Linked DNA regions of Callithrix jacchus. The protein of the gene in region 4 interacts with the protein of the main gene of each other region in a pairwise test. Links are inferred from orthologs where the notes say so. Each region holds a gene or a part of one and is shown on either strand. Other genes may lie near its edges.

Region 1 (5,596 bases), on a different chromosome or scaffold from region 4:
CCTGGCTCCCTCCACTGGAATGTCAATTCCATGAGGGCAGGGACTTTGCCTCCTCAGTGCCTGGCACAGAGCCATGCTCCAGAAATGTATAGAGTGTTACAGGTTGAACTGTGTCCCCCTTCCACAAATTCTTATGCAGAATTCCTAATCCTCGGTACCTCAGAATGTGGTTTTATTTGGAAATAGGGTCATTGCAGCTGTAATGAGCTGAGATGAGGTCATTCTGGAGTAGGGTGGCCCCCATCCAATCTGACTGGTGTCCTTACAGAAAGAGAAACCTGGGACACAGACCCATACACAGGAAGCACGCCACATGAAGGTAAGAGTTCGGCAGCCACAAGCCAAGGAGGTTGGAGCGGGGCCTGGAACAGAACCTTCCTAGCACCTTCAGAGGGAGCGTGGCCCTGCTGCCATCTTGGTCTTGAGCTTCCAGCCTCTGGCACCGTAAGAATCCATTTCTGTTGCTCTACACTGCAGTTTGTGGTACTTTAAGGCAGCCCAGGAAGCTCACACTGTGTGAATGAATGGGCGGATGCATGCATGGGATTAGCTGGGCTCTGGCTCCAGCCTGGCTCCCTTCAACCCTGTGTCCACTTCACTGTCAGAGAGAGCATCCAAGTCAGCCACCTCCTACTTGTCAAAAATATGTTATGGTTTCCCCCTCATTGGTGGAATAAAACCCAAACCCCACAGCACAGCAGTGAGGCTCTGCACAGACCATCCTGACCCCACCAAATTTTCTAGACTCAATTTCCCTGCCTCCCTTAATCTCCTTGCATCTTCAGAGGCTGTTTACCCTTGCCAAAATCCCCCATTCTTGACCATCCTTCAAGGCCTGATAGCCCACTGTCCCTTCACGCCGCACCCCCAGTAGGAATGTACCCTTCCCAAATCCTCTTGAACACTCGTGTACATCCTTCAACCCAGCTCCAAAGACCTCCTCTGCAAAACCTTCTGACACCCCTACTCCCTCAGAGCATACTGACTTCTCACTGTGTTCCAAAGTCCTTAGGTCTCTTAGGCATGACCTATAGCTCAGACACTGCTTGTGTCCAGCTGTCTTGGCCAGCAGGCAGTGAGCTCCCAGAGCGGGCAGGCACCTTGTCTCTCTCATCTGTCACAGTGCCCAGCACAGGCCTGACAAAGGTGCCCACTGGAGGCCTGTTTGACAAATGACAGAACAAAGCCCAATAGGATTCTGTGGTTTTCCTGCTTATGTCTGACTCATTCATTCACCAAACATGAAATGCACCTTGAGTGCACGAGACCCTGTGCTATTTGCAGTCTCTGCCAGAGGCCTGGTCCTTGTCTCACCCCTGCCTTCCAAGAGGCTTTGTGTCTTCCATGGGGGCCCTTCCTCAAGCTTAGCCCAGTGATGTAGAAACAGGAAAGCAAAGGATATGCTGTATTTTCCAAGGATATTTCTTCTGTCCACCACACACACACACACACACACAGACACACACTCACTCACCACCATCCACACCATGCAGGCTCAACATAAAAACCCACCATGAAGCACAGAGCCACCATATGCCCTAGGTGGCTCAATAAATGCCATGTGAAGGGAAGGAAACAGACCCTGCATGGCTTCCACCCCCGTGATTCCCAGACAGACGTCCTATTTTAGTGGATTAACCACTATATCCATCTCCAAGGCACCCAAGCCTCGAGTGAGGGCTGAGGGCTTTGGACCCCATCTTCCCTCTAACTTCCGGTCTCCCAAGTCAGGGCAGATGGGGGCAGAGTGAGCAGCCTCACTGCATGGCACAGAGAGCAGCTATGGCCTCTGCTGTGCTCTCAGCTGCTGAGTGGTGGCCAGAGGGCATGCCAGTCTCCAGCTCCAGGTGGCTAAGCCGATCATTACCCCAGCCCAACCACTCCCTGGTGAGTGATGCAGAAACATCTGGGCTGCCTTCCAGAAGCAGCACTACCAGGTAAACCCTTGGGCAGCAGGTAGAAGCAGGAAGCTGGTGCTTCCAGATGCCCCAGAGGCCCCCAGCCATGCCCCAGCAGTAGGCTGGCTTGGCCAGGACATCCCCAGCTTGAGTGCACTGGCTGCCTAAGCCACACCCAGATCGTGCCAGGCCATGACCAGGCTTTGACCCATGCCCCCGTCTGGCAGCATCCTGCTGAGATGACCCATTTTCCTGCCCAGGCATAGGTGAGAGGAGGCCAAGCTTGAAGAACCAGGGATCTATGCACACCCATTTCCGGGACTCTGTTGCCACAGGAAAAGCCCCGGCTAATCATCTCACAAGGTCCCCCAGCAGCCCATCACACAGATGTGTAAAACCGTGCTGAGGGAGAGAGCAGACCGACCAAAGCCTCCTTGTTTTCCAAGAGGTGGAACCGAGACTTGAACCCCGGGCTATGTGGACCCAACTCAAGCCACCCAGCCCTCACTCCACAGGCTCCCTGTAGAGGGGGGCCTGCTCAGGGTTGAAGGGTCTTAGGCAACCATCCCACCCAGTCCCCTATAAGATGCCTGACCCCACAGCAACCTGGAAGGTGAACTGATGTAACTCAAAGAGCACTGAACTGAGAGTCCAGAGGTCTGGGTTCAAGTCCCGGGTCCACCACAATCAGTACCAGCCCTTCCCTGCCTGGCCTCAGTTTCCCCACCTGCCCAAGACCAGGGTTAGCCTGGCTCAGAGGGTCTCTGGCCCCGTTCTGCGCAGACAGGGCTCTCCATCAGGGATTCCCGAGTGTTTGCTTTTCCCCTACCAGTAACTCATGCATCTCACAACTTGAGGCAGCCTCTCCACGTGGGTCCTGACTCCAAAGATGGAGACCGTCCAGCTGCCCACCAGGACAAGCAACTTGGTCCCCCTTGCAACTCCTAGATCCTCTCGTGGGGTTGGGGCAGGGGCCGAGCCCTCGGGTGGGTGGGGCCGTGGGCTGCTGACTGGGGGGCTACTTAACTAAGACGAGGCGACCCGTAGCGCTGCAGCCTCCCTGTCCCCGCTCCCGTCGAGGGTTCCCACCCAGCGCCGTCGGGGCGGCGCCCCGGGCCACCTGGGGCGGACACGCTGGGGGCGGGGACTCGGGACCAAGCTGGACCTCCTCAGCTGCGCGTCCACGGGGGACAGGGGGGCGCAACCTGGCCCCCAGCATCCGTCCAGACTTTGTTTTTCAGGGGGTCGGAAGGCGGCGGGGGCGGGTGGGGGTCTGAAACTCGCTCCCAAACCCTGTCCCGCGGGTGCTCCTGCCATGGCGGCGACCCCGCCCACTGCGCCCCCTGTCCGCTCCCCCTTCGCGATTCCCCAAGATCACTGACCATAGTGACTGGAGCCGCCGGGCTAGGTCCGGCTCCAGCGAGAAGCGATCCGGTGCGGGAGGTGCTGCTGCTGGCGCGGGCGGGCTCCGCCGCTGGGTCGGGTGGCGGAGACCTCGAGGGCGTGGGGGCAGCGGAGAATACACCCGACCGCTCCGCAAACCAAAGGTTAGACCTCCACTGTGTCCCAGCAAGACACACGCCCCGCGATTGACGTCGCAGGAGAGCAATCAGGAGCCGGGTCGCACGACGTCACAGAAAGTGGGTGGGACTTCACGCTCTTTCAGCCTATGCTTTAGAGTCCATTTGACAGGATGCCTCCCCCTTTTAAAGACACAGAAAGCTTTTAACTAGCCGAGGAGTTAGCTCAACCCAGAAAGACAGGTCCTTGTTTGTAAAGGCTGAAGGGCTTTTGAGGAAACCGAAAATTGGAGTCTTTGGAAGGATTAGCTGGCCCTCATTAATTCATAAACAAGGTCACATAAGTATAGTTTGCACAAGATCAGAGGATAGTCGCTATGGGAACACGTGTCCAATAACATTAAGTGTGGCTTCTATATAATATTTTACCGCCTTCCAACTCATGAATCAGTAGGTTGCCACGCACCCAATTAATGTTTGTTGAATGAATAAATGTCCCGGATCGTCGACTCTGTGGTAGGGATATCCATGAACCAGGTCTAGATGACTCACCTTGCGTACAAGCTCATTATTACTGGACATCAAAATAGGAATATTTATCATTCAAAGATTCATTCACCAGCCCTTGAGTCCCGGAGGAGCTGCTTTGGGTGTGGGAGGGAGAGTTTGTAGGGGAGGTGGACTCAATGCACTGCATGCATCCACTTTAGAATATTAATATTTCCAGGAGGGTGTATTGAGCAATTCCCCTTCCTACTGCTGCCCCACCACCACCACTGCCCCACTTTACTCGGTAAGCCCCAGGCACCGGGCTAGGCTCTAGGCAAACAGACATCTGAAACCATGTATCATGTCCTGGGTAGGGAGTGTGGAGTTAATGGAGGATCCAGGCGCAGTAACAATAACAGCTAACTTTTTACAGTTGTTTATACCGTTATGCAGAAAACTTACTATATATCAGGCGCTATCTCCACAGAACTGGAGAACTGAACTCTCCACAGAATTATTATTATTATTATTTAGATGGAGTCTCTGCTCTGCCGCCAGGCTGGAGTGCAGTGGCAGCGATCTCAGCTCACTGCAACCTCCGCCTCCCAGGTTCCTGGGATTCTCCTGCCTCAGCCTTTCAAGTAGCTGGGACTACAGGCGCATGCCACCACGCCCAGCTAATTTTTGTATTTTTAGTAGAGACAGGGTTTCACCATGTTGGCCAAGATGGTCTCAATCTCTTGACCTCGTGATCTGCCCACCTCGGCCTCCCAAAGTGCTGGGATTACAGGCGTGAGCCGCCGCGCCCGGGCCAGAATTATCTTACTTAATTTCCTCACAACTAGTTTATGGGGGTAGGGATTGTTAATATTATCCCTATTGTACGATGAGGAAACAGGTACAGAGAGTTAAGTTCCTTGCCTAAGTCCACACAGCACTCAAGTGGGATTCAGTCCCAGGCAGTGCAGTGTGACTCCAGAGCTGGTTTTGAATTCACTCTGCAGGAGACAACAGGGGCTGTGTTACCCACCCCTGCCCTTGACCTCCGTTTGCTTTCGGAGGGTTTCTGCTTTTTTTTTGCTTTTTTTTTTTTCAGCCAAGGAAGCCAGAAAGGTGACAGGGGCAGCCCAGTGTTGCTGAGCTAAGAAGTGGCCTGGCTGGGCTGGATCCCCAGATTCCTGACTCCCCGACCACTACTCATTCCAGAGGATGTTAGGCTTCCCTCTGTGGAGGACTGGCTGAGCCACGTTCCATGGTGTCTGGGTGCAGGTATGAGTGAAGAGTTTCTGGCCAAGGCTTCAATGAGCCCTCAAGTTGGGCTACACTAAGCCCTGAGCCCTGGGCCCGCTCTCCGCCCTTCCTCAGGTCCCAGCAGTTCCAAACCAAGCCAGCACTGAAGTGTGGAAGGAGCACGGGGCTGGATTCCCTGAGAGATTCTGGGCCCCTGGCTCTGGGCTCTGCCACTCACTGCTTTGTGGCCCCAGGCAATGCCCGGGCCCTCTCCAGTCTTCGGGTTCCTCACTCAGTGAGAGGATTAGACAATCTAGGTGGTTAAAAATGTTTAAAAAAATATTTTTAGTAATGAAGGCTTTAAACACACACACAGACACACACACACACACACACACACACACACATACAATCTTACAAGCATCTCAGTGTATGTATAATAGAATATTTCCTCAAATT
Region 2 (5,413 bases), on a different chromosome or scaffold from region 4:
AGCTCTACTTTTTACTAGTTGTGTCACGATGGGCAATCTGCTTGAGCCTCAGTTTCCTACCTGCATGGAATAAGTGCAGTTAAGTCAGAGATATGTTGAAGAGACTTTATGATGTAATATATGTAAAACCCTTAGCTCTGGCACCTACTAAGTTTATACAGCTCCTCACTGCCTTTTACCAAAGAAAAGTATAGGGGAGAGCTAATACACTTTCTCTGCTCCTTTTCTGTTCTTTTGTGACTTCTACTAAGCCCACCACTACCATGCCTAGTCTCTGACAAGGAAAATACCAGAAAATGGCTTTCTGATAGAGGTCTCGCTGCCCCAGATGGAAAGTAAGGAAGGTTGAGATACCTCCAAATGTCATGCTCTCAAGGAGAAAAGCACCTTCTAGACTGATCTTAGCTACATATAAAACACCTCATTTTAAAATCCTTCCACCAAGAAAGGAGCTGCTTACAGCCTTTCCCCTAGCTTGTCCAGGACGATGTCACCAGCCGCCAGCTGCTTGCGCCTCAATCGCTCTTTTAAGTCTGGGAAGGTCCGAAGCGCCGGCATATCCTCAAACCTCAGGTTCCGTGCGGCCTGCAGCTGCTCCGCCAGGTTGCTAAGGGAGACCAGGAGGGGCTGGCAGTCTAGCAGGGCGCTCTGCCACAGGCCCTGCTGCTCCTCCACCACGGGGAAGCACTTCTTCAGGGCCTCCTGCACGGCAACCAGAGGCTGGTCTTGAGTCATCTTCTGTTGAAAAAGATAAAAACATAAAGAAAATAACCATGTAGGGATGCCAAGTCAGTCGGGGAGGCACTGGGTCGAGGGTGGGCGGTCATCTCCATGCTCGTGTTTGGACAGGAGTTGTCTCACCTCCAGAAGTGGCTTCTTTTTTTTAGATGGAGTCTCACTCCATCTCCCAGGCTGGAGTGCAGTGGCACGATCTCGGCTCACTGCAACCTCCACCTTCCAAGTTCAAGCGATTCTCCTGCCTCAGCCTTCAGAGTAGCTGGGATTACAGGTGCCTGCCGGCCGGGCACAGTAGCTCACGCCTGTAATCCCAGCACTTTGGGAGGCCGAGGCGGGTGGATCACGAGGTCAACCGATCAAGACCATCCTGGTCAAAATGGTGAAACCCTGTCTCTACTAAAGATACAAAAAAAAAAAAAAAAAAAAAATTAGCTGGGCATGGTGGTACGTGCCTGTAATCCTAGCTACTTGGGAGGCTGAGGCAGGAGAATTGCCTGAACCCAGGAGGCGGAGGTTGCAGTGAGCCGAGATCGCGCCATTGCACTCCAGCCTGGGTAACGAGCGAAACTCCATCTCAAAATAAATAAATAAACAAACAAACAAACAAATAAATAAATACAGGTGCCTGCCACCATGCCCAGCTAATTTTTGTATTTTTAGTAGAGACGAGATTTCGCCATGGTGGCCAGACTGGTCTTGAACTCCTGAACCGCCCGCCTCGGCCTCCCAAAGTGCTGGGATTACAGGATTGAGCCACCGCGTCAGGCCCTGCCTCAGCTTTGTGAAGGAGATCCTGGCTTTCCCTCGGGAAGGGTTACCTGGATAGGGCACTCTCCTACTTCAGAGGATTCCCAGCATCCAAGCGCCGTCTATTCTCTAACCCAGAGGCCAGTCTCCCCTGCCCGAGGCTGCCGGTTGCCTTCCTGAAACCAGCAGAGACAGCCAAAGTGTGAGAACACTCCAGACCTGCACACGCACCCGTAGTCTGTCTGCATGTGCTCAAACACGAACATCTCCCAAAGCTCCTCTAGCCTGCAGGGCTACTGCGTCGCGAAAATATATCGTGTTGCCACAATGACTTCTGGGTACTGTAGTCCCACATGTGGATTGGCCACTTGGCTTGAAGTTTCCTTGGGATGTTGCAGCCGTCCCAACACGGCAACTTCTCATTTGTCAGCCTGCAGCAGTTTAAATTAGTGGCGGTGTTACCACATCCTATTAGCTAAGAGTCACTTCCTCTAAGCTTGCGCCTCCGGCTATGTCTTAATGACACATTTCACAATGTTTGTGGCACAGCCAACTGGCAAAAACTAGTGAATCAGGGGCTCCTGACGTGGCAGCTCTAGCTAAGATGCAGGGTGATGTCCTAGGTGCCCAGGGAAGTCGGGCGCATTGGGGAGTGGAGTGAGAGAAGCGCTGAAACCAAGAGGCTGGAAGCCAGACTTGCCCAGCATAAAAACACCTGCTGGGGGGAGCCTGCATGAGGTACCGGTTGTCATCCCCTCTCATCTTGGCCATCTGCCTGATGAAGATTCTCAGGCACCCAGCAGACTGGAGTGTCACCCCCATCACCCACTGCCCAGGGCTGACCTCGGGCGGAAGAGTGACATTCAAATACTTGTTGCATATGGAGCAACAGGACAGGCTGGAAGGGAGAGAAAGGACTCTCCCTGGCAAGAGGAAGGGCCAGGCTTGCCAGGGCTCCTATGTTCCACCTGCTGTGTCTCCAAGCTCGCTGGTGCCTATCAGGAGCCTGCTTGGCACCTTTGCTTATTTCCTCGATTGTTCCTGAACTCAGAGGGGGAGAGGGAAGATTATCACCCCTACAGTCTATAAAATGCACACTTAAACACAAACACAACCCCTCTGACATGGCTTCAGACCGCATCCACAGGTGAAAAGCACCAAATCCAATCATACCACAAACCCATCAAGAGCTCACCAGTCTGGCTGTCCGGCTGCCACCCGCCTTGAGACTCAGCCTGAGCTATCGCTCTGATCCCTGGAGACTTCAAGACTAGCCTCTAGCCTTGCTGGGCCTCAGCACAACCCCCGATCAATCCAACCCTGTGGCTGTGGACAGATGCCAAGATACACAGTTAGCACCTCCGACTGTACCGCGGCTCGGCCGGGCTCGCCGTCTACACGTCCATTCCCAGGCCCACGGCCTCGACACCCAGGGCTGCCTCCTGCCTTGGGCTCCCTGGAGTCTAGCGGCCGCGGCTCCTACTGCAGTCACCGGACAGCCAGCTGCCAAGCGCCACTACTGCACCTGAAGTCGCGACCCCGCACTCCGCACCCAGTCGAGGCGCCGAGATGTTAACTGGGCAGGAGGGTCCAGCCCGCGGGCGACCGAGGAACGAGAGGGTTCCCCCCACTCGCTGCCCAGACTGGCCGGGCTGGCGCGCCCACCCCAAAGCCTGCACCCCCCGCCCCCTTCCAAACACTGCTGAGTGGGGCTGCTGTGTCTCCGCCGACCCTCCACTTGCCCGAAGTTCCCTCCACTTTTCCGAAGTTCGGCCTGGGGTGCTTGGGGCCCTGAGGAGCGCAGAGGTAGACAGACAGCCAGTCAGTAGTCAGTCAATCAGTGGGTCACGGCGGCCCTCGGCTACTCAGCTGCAACCAGGCCAGAAAGAAGCAGCCTCCTAAAGTGCTGGGATTCCCGGCTTCCAAGCGGGCCCCCGTCGTCCTGGTCGGCCCTCAGCCCTCCAGAGCTTACAGTGTCGAGGTGCCGTCGCAAGGCCTGCCGGGAATAGTAGTTAATATCGTTTGCAGCTGGCCAGGGCGGAGCCGGGTGGGCGTGGAGAGGGCGGGGAAACTATCTTGAACCACAACTCCCAGGAGCACTCGCGACGGCGGTGGCCGCGCTGACGTACTCAGGCTGTAGAGGGCGCATTGGGCTGGAGACCCCGGGCCGGCAAGAACTTGCTTGTGATTGGATGTTGTGGGACGGCGGCTTCTCATTCGTCAGCCTGTGGCCGTGGAGTTTGAATTGGGTGGCGGTTGGCGGTAGAGCCGCTTTCTCACAGGCACCGGGAGGTTTTGATCAGCCCTTGTCTCGGGACTGCAGGTACGTGCCTGGCGACTTCTTCGGGTGGCATTTGTCCGCCTTTCTCGTGCCTACCCGGTTCCTTGCCTCCCTGCCCCATCTCTGCCGCTACCCGCAGCCTCCGCCGAGCGCCATGGCTCCTAGGAAGGGCAGCAGTCGGGTGGCCAAAACCAACTCCTTACGGAAGCGGAAGCTCGCCTCCTTTCTGAAAGACTTCGACCGTGAAGGTAAGGAAGGGGCCGGGCAGTCGCGGCTTCCTGGGGCAGTCGCGGGATGCTGGCGGGTGGGGACACGAGCAGCACCTATTCACCCGCCCCGTGACCCGTGTCCCGTCGGCTCTGCCCTCCCGCAGTGGAAATACGAATCAAGCAGATTGAGTCAGACAGGCAGAACCTCCTCAAGGAGGTGGATAACCTGTACAACATCGAGATCCTGCGACTCCCCAAGGCGCTGCGCGAGATGAACTGGCTCGACTACTTCGGTAAGAGCTGCAGCCCCTTGGGGTTAGGTGACACCCTTCAGAAAGGGCTCGCTCGGATGTCACCTTTTAATGAGATCTGACATGAGCACTTATGGAAAATGGCAGACCTACTGTTCCCCTTCACTCTCTGTCTCACTTCCCTACTTCATTTTTCTCCATGCTTTTCTCTAAAGGTCTAGCTAGCAAATATTTTAGTCCACTGGTGCGGGGGTCGATGGGGGTCTCTGTCAGACTACTCAACTCTGTGATATGTGATACAGTTCCAAAACAGCTGTAGTGAATGGGCATGGATGGGCTGTATTGCAATAAAATTTTAGTTACGGATACACTGAAATGTGAATTTCACATAATTTTTCCACATCAGGAAATAGTATTTTTTTTAATTTATTTTTTAGACAGAGCCTCAGTCTATCATCCAGGCTGGAGTGCAGTGCAGTGGCGCGATCTTGGCTCACTGCAACTTCCACCTCCCAGGTTCAAGTATAACCTCCACCTTCTGGGTTCAAGTGATTCTCCTGCCTCAGCCTGTGGAGTAGCTGGGATTACTGGCGCTCGCCACCACACTCGGCTGATTTTTGTATTTTCAGTAGAAACGGGGTTTCACCATGTTGACCAGACTGGTCTTGAACTCCCGACCTCAAGCCTGCCTCTGCCTCCCAAAGTGTGGGATTACAGGCGTCAGCCACTGTGCCCGGCCAGGAAATAGTATTTTTAAAAAATATATGCCAATTTTGGCCACAGGGTTGTGGGGGGTGTGGCTCACGCCTGTAATCTCAGCACTTTGGGAGGCTGAGGTGGGCGGATCACAAGGTCAGGAGTTCAGGACCAGCCTAGCCAATACGATGAAACCCTGTCTCTACTAAAAAATACAAAAATTAGCTGGGCATGGTGGCAGGTGGCTGTAGTCCCAGCTACTCAGAAGGCTGACACAGGAGAATCGCTTGAACCCAGGAGGCGGAGGTTGCAGTGAGCCGAAATCACTCCACTGCACACCAGCCTGGGTGACAGAGCAAGATTCTGTCTCAAAAAAAATAAAAACAAAAACCATATAAATATATGTATATTTTACCCAACCCATGTAAAAATGAATAAATGATGTGGTTAGTTAACCAGAGCTCAGAAAGAAGAATAAGGTAGCAATTTCC
Region 3 (5,432 bases), on a different chromosome or scaffold from region 4:
CAACTGAGTGTCCAGCACACTGTCTGACATAAGAGAGATTTCAAATACTTATTGAACAACTAGAATTTAACAGTGCACACTTATCTATATGATAATAAGTTTTTAACGGGGCTCTAGAAGGAGGTAGCTACAGGGGTCACTTGACCTGAACCTTAAGCCTGAGGGTGAATGAAATTTTGCTTGCCTTTCCGTGACATGCCTAGGGATGCAGGTGAGACCTGATCATGTGCAGGGGCTTAACAAATATTTATTTTTGCCTTTCCACTTGATTTATTATTTTTTCTTAGCATTTCTCAGTGATCTTTGCTTTGGATGAATATGCAAGCTGGGTTGATGCACCACAGAACAGTTGAGAATAAATATAAATTTTCAAAGAGAATCCCAATAGGCTGGGTGCAGTGGCTCATACCTGTAACCCCAGCACTTTGGGAGGCTGAGGTGGGCGATCACTTGGGCCCAGGAGCTTGAAATCAGCCTGGGCAACATAGCAAGATCCCATGTCTACAAAAAATTTAAAAATTAGCCAGGCACGGTAGTGTGCACCAGGAGTCCCAGATACTCAGAAGGGCTGAGACAGGATAATCTCTTGAACCCAGAAGGTCAAGGTTACAGTGAGCCATGATTATGCACTCCAGCCTGGGAGTTGGGGTGAGACCCTGTCTAAAGAAAAGAGAGAAAGAAAGAAAGAATGAAAGAAAGAAAGAAAGAACAAAAGAAAGAAAAAAAAAGGAAGGAAGGAAGGAAGGGAGGGAGGGAGGGAGGGAGGGAGGGAGGGAGGGAGGGAGGGAGGGAGGGAGGGAAGGAGGGAGAATCCCAATATTGACCGTATACCCTGAGATCCTGGCCAGTCTGTCCTTGCACCTTCTTTTTTCCCTTTTCGCTGCTTGCACCATCACAGCTAGCTCTTCACCATCTCCCATCCAGAGGCACAACAGTTTCTATTGCCATCATTTTCCAGCTTCACTGTGTTCTTCATGTCAGATTTAAGTTTCTAAATTCACTAGTCTTGTCACTTCTCCGCTCAAAAACCATCCATGTTTCCCCATTAGCTTTAGAACCACTCTTTTAAAACTACCTGATCTTATCCCATCCTCCTTCTCCAAAAGCTGGTTTCCAAATGACATTTTAGGAACCCTGTATGTACATACTTTAAAGTATCCAACTTCTAGACCACTGTTCCTACCTCCTCCCCTTCCTAAAGCACCTTCCATCCCATTTCTATGTAACCAGATCTTACCCACTCTTTATTTATTTGCTTATTTATTTTATTTTGAGACGGAAAGTCTCTCTGTCTCCCAGGCTGGATAGCAGTGGTGCCATCTCAGCTCACTGCATCCTCTGCCTCCCAGGTTCAAGCGATTCTCGTGCCTCAGCCTCCTGAGTAGCTGTGATACAGATACCCCCACCATGCCCAGCTAATCTTTGTATTTTTAGTAGAGATGAAGGTTTTATTATGTTGGCCAGGCTGGTCTTGAGCTCCTGACCTCAGTGATCTGCCCACCTCAGCCTCCCAAAGTGCTAGGATTATAGGCGTTAGCCACCGCTCCTAGCCAACATATATTTTTCTTTAAATGGTACTGTGGATGTAGGTATAAGAGAGATAGCCTGTCTCTCCAGTATCATTTACAGAAAGAAGTGTGTCCCAATGTATTCTATTAGTAAGGACAATCACTTTTGTCTGTAATCAGACTTCTGAGCCTACTCCATGGCCCATTTGTGTACTTCCTTGTAAAATCCAGTTTTAGCAAAGAACCCTACTAAGTCAGTTTGGCAAGGACACCTCGCCCTAGCTATCTGATCACTGTCAGGTTCTGATGAGATTCCTCCTCCTCCACCATCCCCCAGGCAACAACTGATCACCCTGGTCTGTCTTCAGCTACAATTCTGTTAGGCTGGCTTAGCCAGAATCCCCTTTACCCCTGATGTTTCCTCTGAGTAATTTTCTAGCCACTGATCCCACACTACTCCTTGGCCATAAATTCCCACTTGTCCGTGCTGTACTCAGAGTTGAGTCCAATCTTTCCTCTGCACTAAGAGCTCCTTGCAGTGGTCCCTATACCTATTGTGATGATCCTGAGTAAAGTCTTCCCAACCATGATTTAACAAATGACATAGAGTAATTTTTTTCTTTAACAAGAGACACCGGGGTTTCACTTTCTGTTACAGGTATAATAACAGGTTCAGTGGCCCCTACTTTACAAAGAGGAAAATACATCAAGATAGGAGGTTTCTAGTGATATCTGTTCAGATTTCTGTTTAGGATTGCTTTCTAAACTGGGCATAAGCAAGTTCCTTCCACTGGGTCTCTTTGATATTGTAGCCTGGAATTTCTTTTTTCTTTTTTTGAGGCAGGGTCTTACTCTGTTGCCCAGGCCAGAGTGCAGTGGTGCAATCTTGGCTCACTGCAGCCTCTGTCTCCTGGGTTCAAGAGATTCTCCTGCCTTGGCCTCTCAAGTAGCCAGTATTACAGGCACACGCCACCACACCAAGTTAATTTTTGTATTTTTGGTAGAGATGGGGTTTCACCGTGTTGGCCAGGCTAGTCTCGAACTCCTGACCTCAAGTGATCCCCCTGCCTCAGCCTCCCAAAGTGCAGGGACTACAGGCATGAGCCATGACACCCAGCCTGGAATTTCATATTTAACTTAGACTCTGGAAATTCCAAATTAGTTTTAACACAAATTATTTGAGAAACCAAGGTCTCTGTTTCTTTACCTATGAAATGGTGACTGCTTATGCTTACCTTGATAGACTACAAGAATGAAAGAAAATGACGAATATTGAAGTCCTTTACAAATCTAACAAAATGTGAAATATTATTAGGATTTATAGTTTAAGTATTGCAAGTGGATACTGCAGAATAAGTAGTCTTTCAGATTGAAATTTCTTTTAAAACCCCTAGCCTTTTCCATACCAAATAAACAGATCTCTGGAGAACAGTACCTTCTCTCCATCCCCCCGTACCCCTCTTCTTCAGCCCTTCCCTTCACCACCACCATATCCCTCCTGCTGCTGCAGAGTCTGCTTGCAGGCCTTTACACCAGGGAGAGCAAGGCAGATGGGGGAGCACGGACAGACACATGCCTCTCCTGGCACTGCTCATTATTTCTCACTTTATGCATTTTGACTGCAACATCAGAGTGAAACACTGAGGGATATGTATTCCTTTACTGTGCCTTTGCCGCATTCAATGTACGATGTCACATGTGTGCAAGATGAGGCTACTCACGAGACACAGAGGCACAGGACTCCTGGTATCGACTCGCTGTCTCTTAACAGAAAGTTGCCATCCACCCCTTCCTTGAGCAGCAAGGTTTCACAGTCTCGCTTGGTCAGAGGGCCGTGGTAGTAAGGAAGATCCATGGAGAACGCTCTTGTATCCCAGGCAGCCCTGTTGGCCTGAAATTCACCCCCAAGCCAAGGGACAGCTCTGAGGAGGGATGTGGAAGCAGTTGTGCCTCCTGTGGAAATAGCTCTGTCTCTAGTGATCTGTGAGACTCAACCAGCTTCATGAGATTCAGGAAATGAGAAGGGCGGGGTGATAAAATGACCAACACATTTTATCCTCTATGTGGCCCACATGTGACTCACAGAAAGGGGTAAAGCACATTTAAATACACAGTGGAATCAGTGAAGCTCATCGCTAGGGAGACAACGCTGAAGTCAAGCTCTCTGGAACTGCGTTGCAGCCTGTATATTACCATGTACTATCATCACCTTCTCTGGCTACTGGCATCCTGTGCAGGAAGCACAGCATCGCTTTTGCAGTAATGGTACCCATTCTCTGCTGAAGTTGCATAGGATTGGGCTATGCTTAGCGTAGACTGGGTGCTCAAAAAGCATTGGGATGCTGAGAGAATTGATATGCTCAGATACAGTGGGAAAATTGAAACGGTGGCATTTCCATGGATCAAATGACACCAAAAATGGAAGATATTAATGGGAATAGAAAACAGTGGGACACTGTGGATGAGGACAGCCCATTCCATGACTAAGGCTCCTAGCAACTGGCAAAAAAAAGCGCCATTTTTAACACCCTCAAGCATTGTACCTTTTGGAGAAAGGGCTGGTGCAGGTGGGAGGGTTAACTGGTATACTCAAATATCCACAGGAAATCACTATATATCTCAAAAATGAATCCATGAAAATGAAACTAAAATAGAAAAGATGAGTTCGTGACGTATCTTTATTTCACTTCTTCTTTTTCTTTTTCTTCATCTCTGTAGATACCTGGAATCTTAACTTCTTCTTAACCCAGATGTGTATTTCACATTGCTACTTTGCTTACCAGCTGTTTACTCACACTTGGGGTGTATCTTTCAGGAAACTTCCTTGTAACGGTCTTTGTTCTTCCTTGGAATTCCCACTCTTTGCTGTTTGGCATAGCGTAGTTTCACGGATCAAGGAACTTGTTATCAGAGAGAGCTGCTCTCAAATACCAACTTTTCTTCTGTGGTTTTGGACAATTCATTATTATATTTCCCTGGGAACTATGGCAGTTGAAGACAGAGTTATTAATGATGAAAGAAGAAATTCGGTAATTATTGGGAATACATTCACAATCATCGTGTGAAGATGTTTTTGACATAAAAGAGAAAATAACTGAAAGTATGCTCAGGCTCTTGGTTATCACAGGGGCTTGCTGGACCTTTTTCCTGTTTCAAAATTCAATCCTCAGAGTAAAAGAAATATAAATTAAATCCATGCTGAGAGAACATCTCTCACCTATCATATTGGTGAAAAAAATCAAAAATGTGAAAACTTACTGGATTGGTGATGGTGAAAGAAAATAGAACATCTTGTATCTTGGTTAGGATACAAAATAGTTACAACTATAGTAAAAGAGAGTTTGACAATGCCTTGCACATTTGTGTATGCCTTCACGATCTAATAGAACAATCTCAGTCTAGAAATCTATCACAAAACTACAGGCAGGATTAGAAAATAACTTGTGAATAAGGTAGTATTTTTAATCGAAAAAGATGACAAACAACTGAAAGACTTGTGAGTAGAGGGATAAGTGAATAAGCTGGGATTCATGTAAATAATGGAATATCACTATAGAATGATGAGATGAGGAAGATCTCTATATGCTGATATGTAATAATCTTCATGATGTATTTTTAGGTGAAAGCAGCAAGGTGCACAGTAGTATATAGAGTATGAGGGATATAAGTAAATATATACATTTATATATTGTTCATATATAGAAAACAAACGAAAAACAAAACCCACTGGAAGAACAAAACTGAAACTGATTAAAAAAAACAAAAAACTTCTGCCTCTAAGCAAATGGAGAAACCATATATAGAGGTGAGACTTCTCTAAGTAAAACTTGCTCTATAGGTTTTTGTTTTTTTGTTTGTTGAGACAAAGTCTCGCTCTGTTACTCAGTCTGGAGTGCAGTGGTGTGATCTCAGCTCACTGCAACC
Region 4 (4,318 bases):
CTGCTTCCAACGCTAGCCCCAGGGGCACAAAGGCTGGTGTCAGGAGTTGTGTCCCTCTGGGGGCTCGCCAGCCGCCAGACTCGAAGCTGTGGCTGTCATTGCTTCTACAATCAGTGCATGTTCTTCACTGACGTCAGTCGGAGCTGTTCTGGCGCTATATAAGGCTGGCGGCAGTCCCGGGACAGACCCTGTGTTCCCCAAGGCGCCTTCAGCCTGCCTCGAGGGACAGAAACTGGAGCTCCGTCTTGGACCGTACAAACACTCGCTGAAAACCTGTGAGTGGCTCAGAGCATTCGCCCAGCCTCCCCAAACATCAGGACTCCACTCAGCTCAGCCACCGCGCTCCTCCGGGAGGGAGGCTGGATGGAAGGGGTGGAACAGCACTGGCGCAGCCGCTGGGGCTGGAGGGCCGCCTGCGGGCATTGTTCCGGCGGAACCGCCGGGGGTCACCGGGCGAGCGCGGGGAGGGGAGCCGCCCCCAGCACCTGCCTGGCCAGTGCGGGGTGGGGAGCGGCCCCCTGCGGCTGCCCCAGGCGCATCTCACCCTGCGCTGCCCCTGTGTGTCCAGGGCCGGCGGCACCATGAGGCAGGCGGGACGCGCGGCGCTGCTGGCTGCGCTGCTGCTCCTAGTACATCTGCGCCCTGGGAGCAGCCAGAAGAGCCCCGAGGTGGCTGGGGTCCAGGACCCGAGTCTGCGCTGGAGCCCCGAGGCGCGGAAGCAGGGCGGCGGAGCCCGCGCGCTCCTCTTGCTGCTAGCGGAGCGCTTCCCGCGCCGCGCGGGGCTCGGGATGACAGGGGATCGGCTGCGGCGTGACAACCCTCCTCTGTCCATTGACCTCACCTTTCACCTGCTGCGGACCCTGCTGGAGCTGGCGCGGACGCAAAGCCAGCGGGAGCGCGCCGAGCAGAACCGCATCATATTCGACTCGGTGGGCAAGTGATGGGCCTGGTTTGGGGCCGCGAAAACTTTGACCCCTTTCCCCCACCTCAGGGTTGGGACGCGGGGCAGAGCCACCAGAGCATTCTCTGCGTGGCTATTTTTTAATAAAAGTGCTGAAGAGCTGTTGGCTTCTGTTGTTGGGGGGGCGGCAGTCACAGCAGGGTGGGAACCTGTGGGAAGGTGGGGCCCCCTAGCCAGCTGGAAGGGAACAGGATGCGCGGGGGAGGGGGGCTCCGGGAGAGCGGCTTTCAGCCAGGTCAGCCAGGTGCCTGTGGACCCCAGGGCTCCCCAAATCCCCAGGACCTCAGGTCCCGGCACCACCGCCTTGCCCTCAACCCTCTTCCAAGGGTGCTGGGCTCACCAGTTCTCTCCTGGCATCACGGAGGTGCCCAAAAAGGGTTCATTTGGCTTCCACCCGCCCAAACGGTCTCAGGTTCCAGGAAGGGCAGAATGGTGGCGGGTCGCCTCCAAAGCCGAAGCTGAGGGATTGGGCAGCGAAAGGAGATACGGGTCTGGGAGCTCGAGTTCTTTATTAAGATCCTCCCGGGGCGGGCGCCGAGCTGGGCTACTCTGCGGTCTCTGCGCAGATCCTCCCCGACCCTAGCGCAGGCTCTTGACCAGAGTCGGGTCGGCGCAGACCTGTGCCTGGGAAAGAAGGCTTAGTGAGCAGGTGCTGAGAAGGCGCGAGGCAGCTCGAGCCCAGCTCACTCGGTCGCCCGCCACGTGGGTTTCTCCTCTACTCAGCCAACTCTGCTTGCCCTCCCAGTAACCCGGAGGTACGGTGGGGGTGGAGGAAGTGTGCTTTTCCGCCCTGGGGGATGCACCTTTGTGGCTCCGGGGTAGGGTGGTACCGAGGATTGGGGGACAGTAACCGGGGGAGGGGACATGAGTGCACCAGCCAGGCCCCATTTCAAGTCCCTCAGGACACTCACCTTAAGGCCCATCCGGCCGCCCTTCCTCCGGCCCCGCAGTGCCCTCGTCTCCGTCCAGGGCCACTTCCTCATCTTCTTCCTCTCCGGAAGTGCCTGGGCCCAAGGAAGGCCTGGTGAGGTGGAGTCCCTGCCTTTCCTGCCATTTTGCCCGCCTTGCCCCCACATGGAGGGTCGGAACCCCAGTCCCGGTGGCCCTTGGCCATCTCCCTCACCCGGCTGGAAGTCGATGGTCCGCAGCATTTCGGCCACGTGCTCTACGCTCACGGTGAATGGCTCCATGCTCTCATAGCCTGGCTCTGGCCGCCCTGCCAGTTCCACCTTCGACATAGCCCCGACCCTGCAGCAACCACACTGGGCTCAACTGGCAATGCCCCAGCACCCTCAAGCCCCTCCCCCAGCCAGTGGAGCAGCGCAGCCCCCTCCTTTCCCTTCCCGCTGTGCCTACTCACTTATTGATCAGCTCCTTGGCCTGCTGCAGGGGAGAAAAGGAGGGTGAGAGTAAGCACTGGGCCAACCTGGGCTAAGTCCCATTTCTTTCTCACCACAGTCCTGCAGGGTAGGTGGGAAGGTACATCCCATTTCATTAAGGAGAAAATGAACTCAGAGGGGGTGAATTGCCCAAGGTGGTAGGGGCAAGGCAGGTCCAAGAGACAAGACTTGAACCTGGATGTCCAGGTGCCAAGGCCCCGACTCCAGCCACTCTGCAGCACTGCCACCCTCCCCTAGAGCCCACCTGGAGGTAGAGCGCCATCTGTGGCTCTTCCATGGACTGTATGGCAGACTCCACCAGCTTAGAGGAGGCCTCCAGGTGATCTCCGTACTGACGGATGAGGCCACGAACACGCTGCAGCTTCTCCTCTTGCTCCCGGGCCAGTGCCTGCAGCAGCTCGCCCTTGCGCTCCTCCAACACTGCACACAGGCTCTCGAACTTCTGGTTTAACAACTGCTTCTGCCTCCGGCTATTGTCCTGAAAGATGGGGAGCAAGGACCAGGGAAGGCGTGGCTGAGACCCGGTGGCTGGGAAATCCCAGGGTACTGGGCCTGCTCCCCACTTGATGGAGCTCAGAGAACCAAGACAGAAAGTGACCCGTCCACAGTGCCACTGCTAGTGGCTGAGCCAGAATCCAGCCCAGATCTCTTCTATAATAAAAACACAATGTTTTAAAGTAGCTTCAATGAGTGCTGTCTATATCCCTAGCCCTGGTTTTTACTTGCGTTATTCCATTTAATTCTTAAAAAGAACCCATGAGGTAGCTGGTGTACCATTATCATCATCACTGTTTTATGAGGTTAAACAAAACCAAAGCACAGAGAAGTTAAATAACTGGATTAAAGTTTCGAGGCAAAGCTGGAATGCATACCCAGCAGCCTGGCTAAAGCCCATCCCACCACTTTCAGGACCCCAGAAACTTTCAGACCAGTTTGGCCACAGCAATTCTTCTGGAAGGAAGCCCGGGGTCCGCAGACCCGCCAGTTGCTGTTCCCCCCTCCCTCTAGCCCAGGCTCACCTCGATGGTCTGGCACACTTCCTCCATCTGTGTGATCACTGCTTGCACCCGGTCATTGCCTGCCACCAGCATCGCAATGCCATCGCTGAGCTCACTCTGACACACAAACAGGTCAGCACTTAGAACTGGGACCTGGTCTAGAGCTACACCCCTCACCCCAGCCAGGGTTGCCTAGAAGAGGGCTGTCCCCTTCACCCCACCCACCATGAGGGCATCTACAGCCCTCTAGAAGACTTGAACTATCAGGAGGTACAGAAGCACATTCTAGGGATTCTAGAAGGAGGTGGAGAGAAGAAGCCCTCCACCACTAAGTGGGAAGGAACAGACAGTCTCCATCCACCAGATGCCAGGCACAGGGCTAGATGCTTTATCTGAAGATTCGTTTCTTGCATCAATTCTGATGCAAGAAATTCTTGATGATTATCCATTTGCATAATATTGCCTCTTCTCTGTTCTCTTTATCTTCTCATTCTGGAAATCTGATTCTCACGCTCAACCCTCTCCTCTCCCAGAGATACACATTCTGTTTTGTTTTGTTTTTTTTTTCAGTCCCCTCATGCTGTTCACTAGTTCTGTTTTCAGACAAAGCGGTCATTTAATTCATCTGTTTCTTTTTTTTTTTTTTTTGAGACGGAGTTTGCTCTTGTTGCCCAGGCTGGAGTGCAATGGTGTGATCTCGGTTCACTGCAAACTCTGCCTCCTGGGTTCAAGCGATTCTACTGCCTCAGCCTCCCAAGTAGCTGGGATTACAGGCATGTGCCACCATGCCTGGCTAATTTTGTATTTTTAGTAGAGATGGGGTTTCTCCATGTTGGTCAGGCTGTTCTTGAACTCCTGACCTCAGGTGATCTGCTCCCCTTGGCTTCCCAAAGTGCTGGAATTACAGGCATGAGCCACCGCGCCTGGCCTGATTTTTTTTTAAGAGACAGTCTCACTCT

Evidence for each region.
Region 1: the proteins of TRIM54 (region 4) and OTUB2 interact in binary tests that used the Homo sapiens proteins (3 or more experiments, as listed by UniProt). The two-hybrid records come from large-scale screens. The link is inferred for Callithrix jacchus from reciprocal best matches to the Homo sapiens genes TRIM54 and OTUB2.
Region 2: the proteins of TRIM54 (region 4) and AIRIM interact in binary tests that used the Homo sapiens proteins (3 or more experiments, as listed by UniProt). The two-hybrid records come from large-scale screens. The link is inferred for Callithrix jacchus from reciprocal best matches to the Homo sapiens genes TRIM54 and AIRIM.
Region 3: the proteins of TRIM54 (region 4) and SH2D1B interact in binary tests that used the Homo sapiens proteins (3 or more experiments, as listed by UniProt). The two-hybrid records come from large-scale screens. The link is inferred for Callithrix jacchus from reciprocal best matches to the Homo sapiens genes TRIM54 and SH2D1B.

Annotation. Positions count from the first base shown.
Region 1 is NC_133509.1:128,846,918-128,852,513, reverse strand, and holds the start of OTUB2 (ubiquitin thioesterase OTUB2), read right to left. Parts: upstream 3,484-5,596; 5' UTR 3,284-3,483; coding exon 3,281-3,283; intron 1-3,280. UniProt on the Homo sapiens protein: Hydrolase that can remove conjugated ubiquitin from proteins in vitro and may therefore play an important regulatory role at the level of protein turnover by preventing degradation.
Region 2 is NC_133508.1:74,245,692-74,251,104, forward strand, and holds the start of AIRIM (AFG2-interacting ribosome maturation factor), read right to left. Parts: upstream 3,484-5,413; 5' UTR 3,228-3,483; intron 2,812-3,227; exon of another isoform or gene 2,681-2,811; intron 1,768-2,680; exon of another isoform or gene 1,662-1,767; 5' UTR 1,557-1,661; exon of another isoform or gene 1,440-1,556; intron 1,135-1,439; 5' UTR 862-1,134; intron 744-861; exon of another isoform or gene 739-743; 5' UTR 736-738; coding exon 461-735; intron 1-460. Other genes in the region: CDCA8 (borealin), read left to right, coding at 3,921-4,014, 4,140-4,268. UniProt on the Homo sapiens protein: Part of the 55LCC heterohexameric ATPase complex which is chromatin-associated and promotes replisome proteostasis to maintain replication fork progression and genome stability.
Region 3 is NC_133519.1:39,150,283-39,155,714, reverse strand, and holds the start of SH2D1B (SH2 domain-containing protein 1B), read right to left. Parts: upstream 3,484-5,432; 5' UTR 3,364-3,483; coding exon 3,230-3,363; intron 1-3,229. UniProt on the Homo sapiens protein: Cytoplasmic adapter regulating receptors of the signaling lymphocytic activation molecule (SLAM) family such as CD84, SLAMF1, LY9 and CD244. In SLAM signaling seems to cooperate with SH2D1A/SAP.
Region 4 is NC_133515.1:87,713,469-87,717,786, forward strand, and holds the end of TRIM54 (tripartite motif-containing protein 54), read right to left. Parts: intron 3,477-4,318; coding exon 3,381-3,476; intron 2,840-3,380; coding exon 2,606-2,839; intron 2,345-2,605; coding exon 2,322-2,344; intron 2,210-2,321; coding exon 2,085-2,209; intron 1,966-2,084; coding exon 1,874-1,965; 3' UTR 1,873-1,873; intron 1,586-1,872; 3' UTR 1,452-1,585; downstream 1-1,451. Other genes in the region: UCN (urocortin), read left to right, coding at 582-941. UniProt on the Homo sapiens protein: May bind and stabilize microtubules during myotubes formation.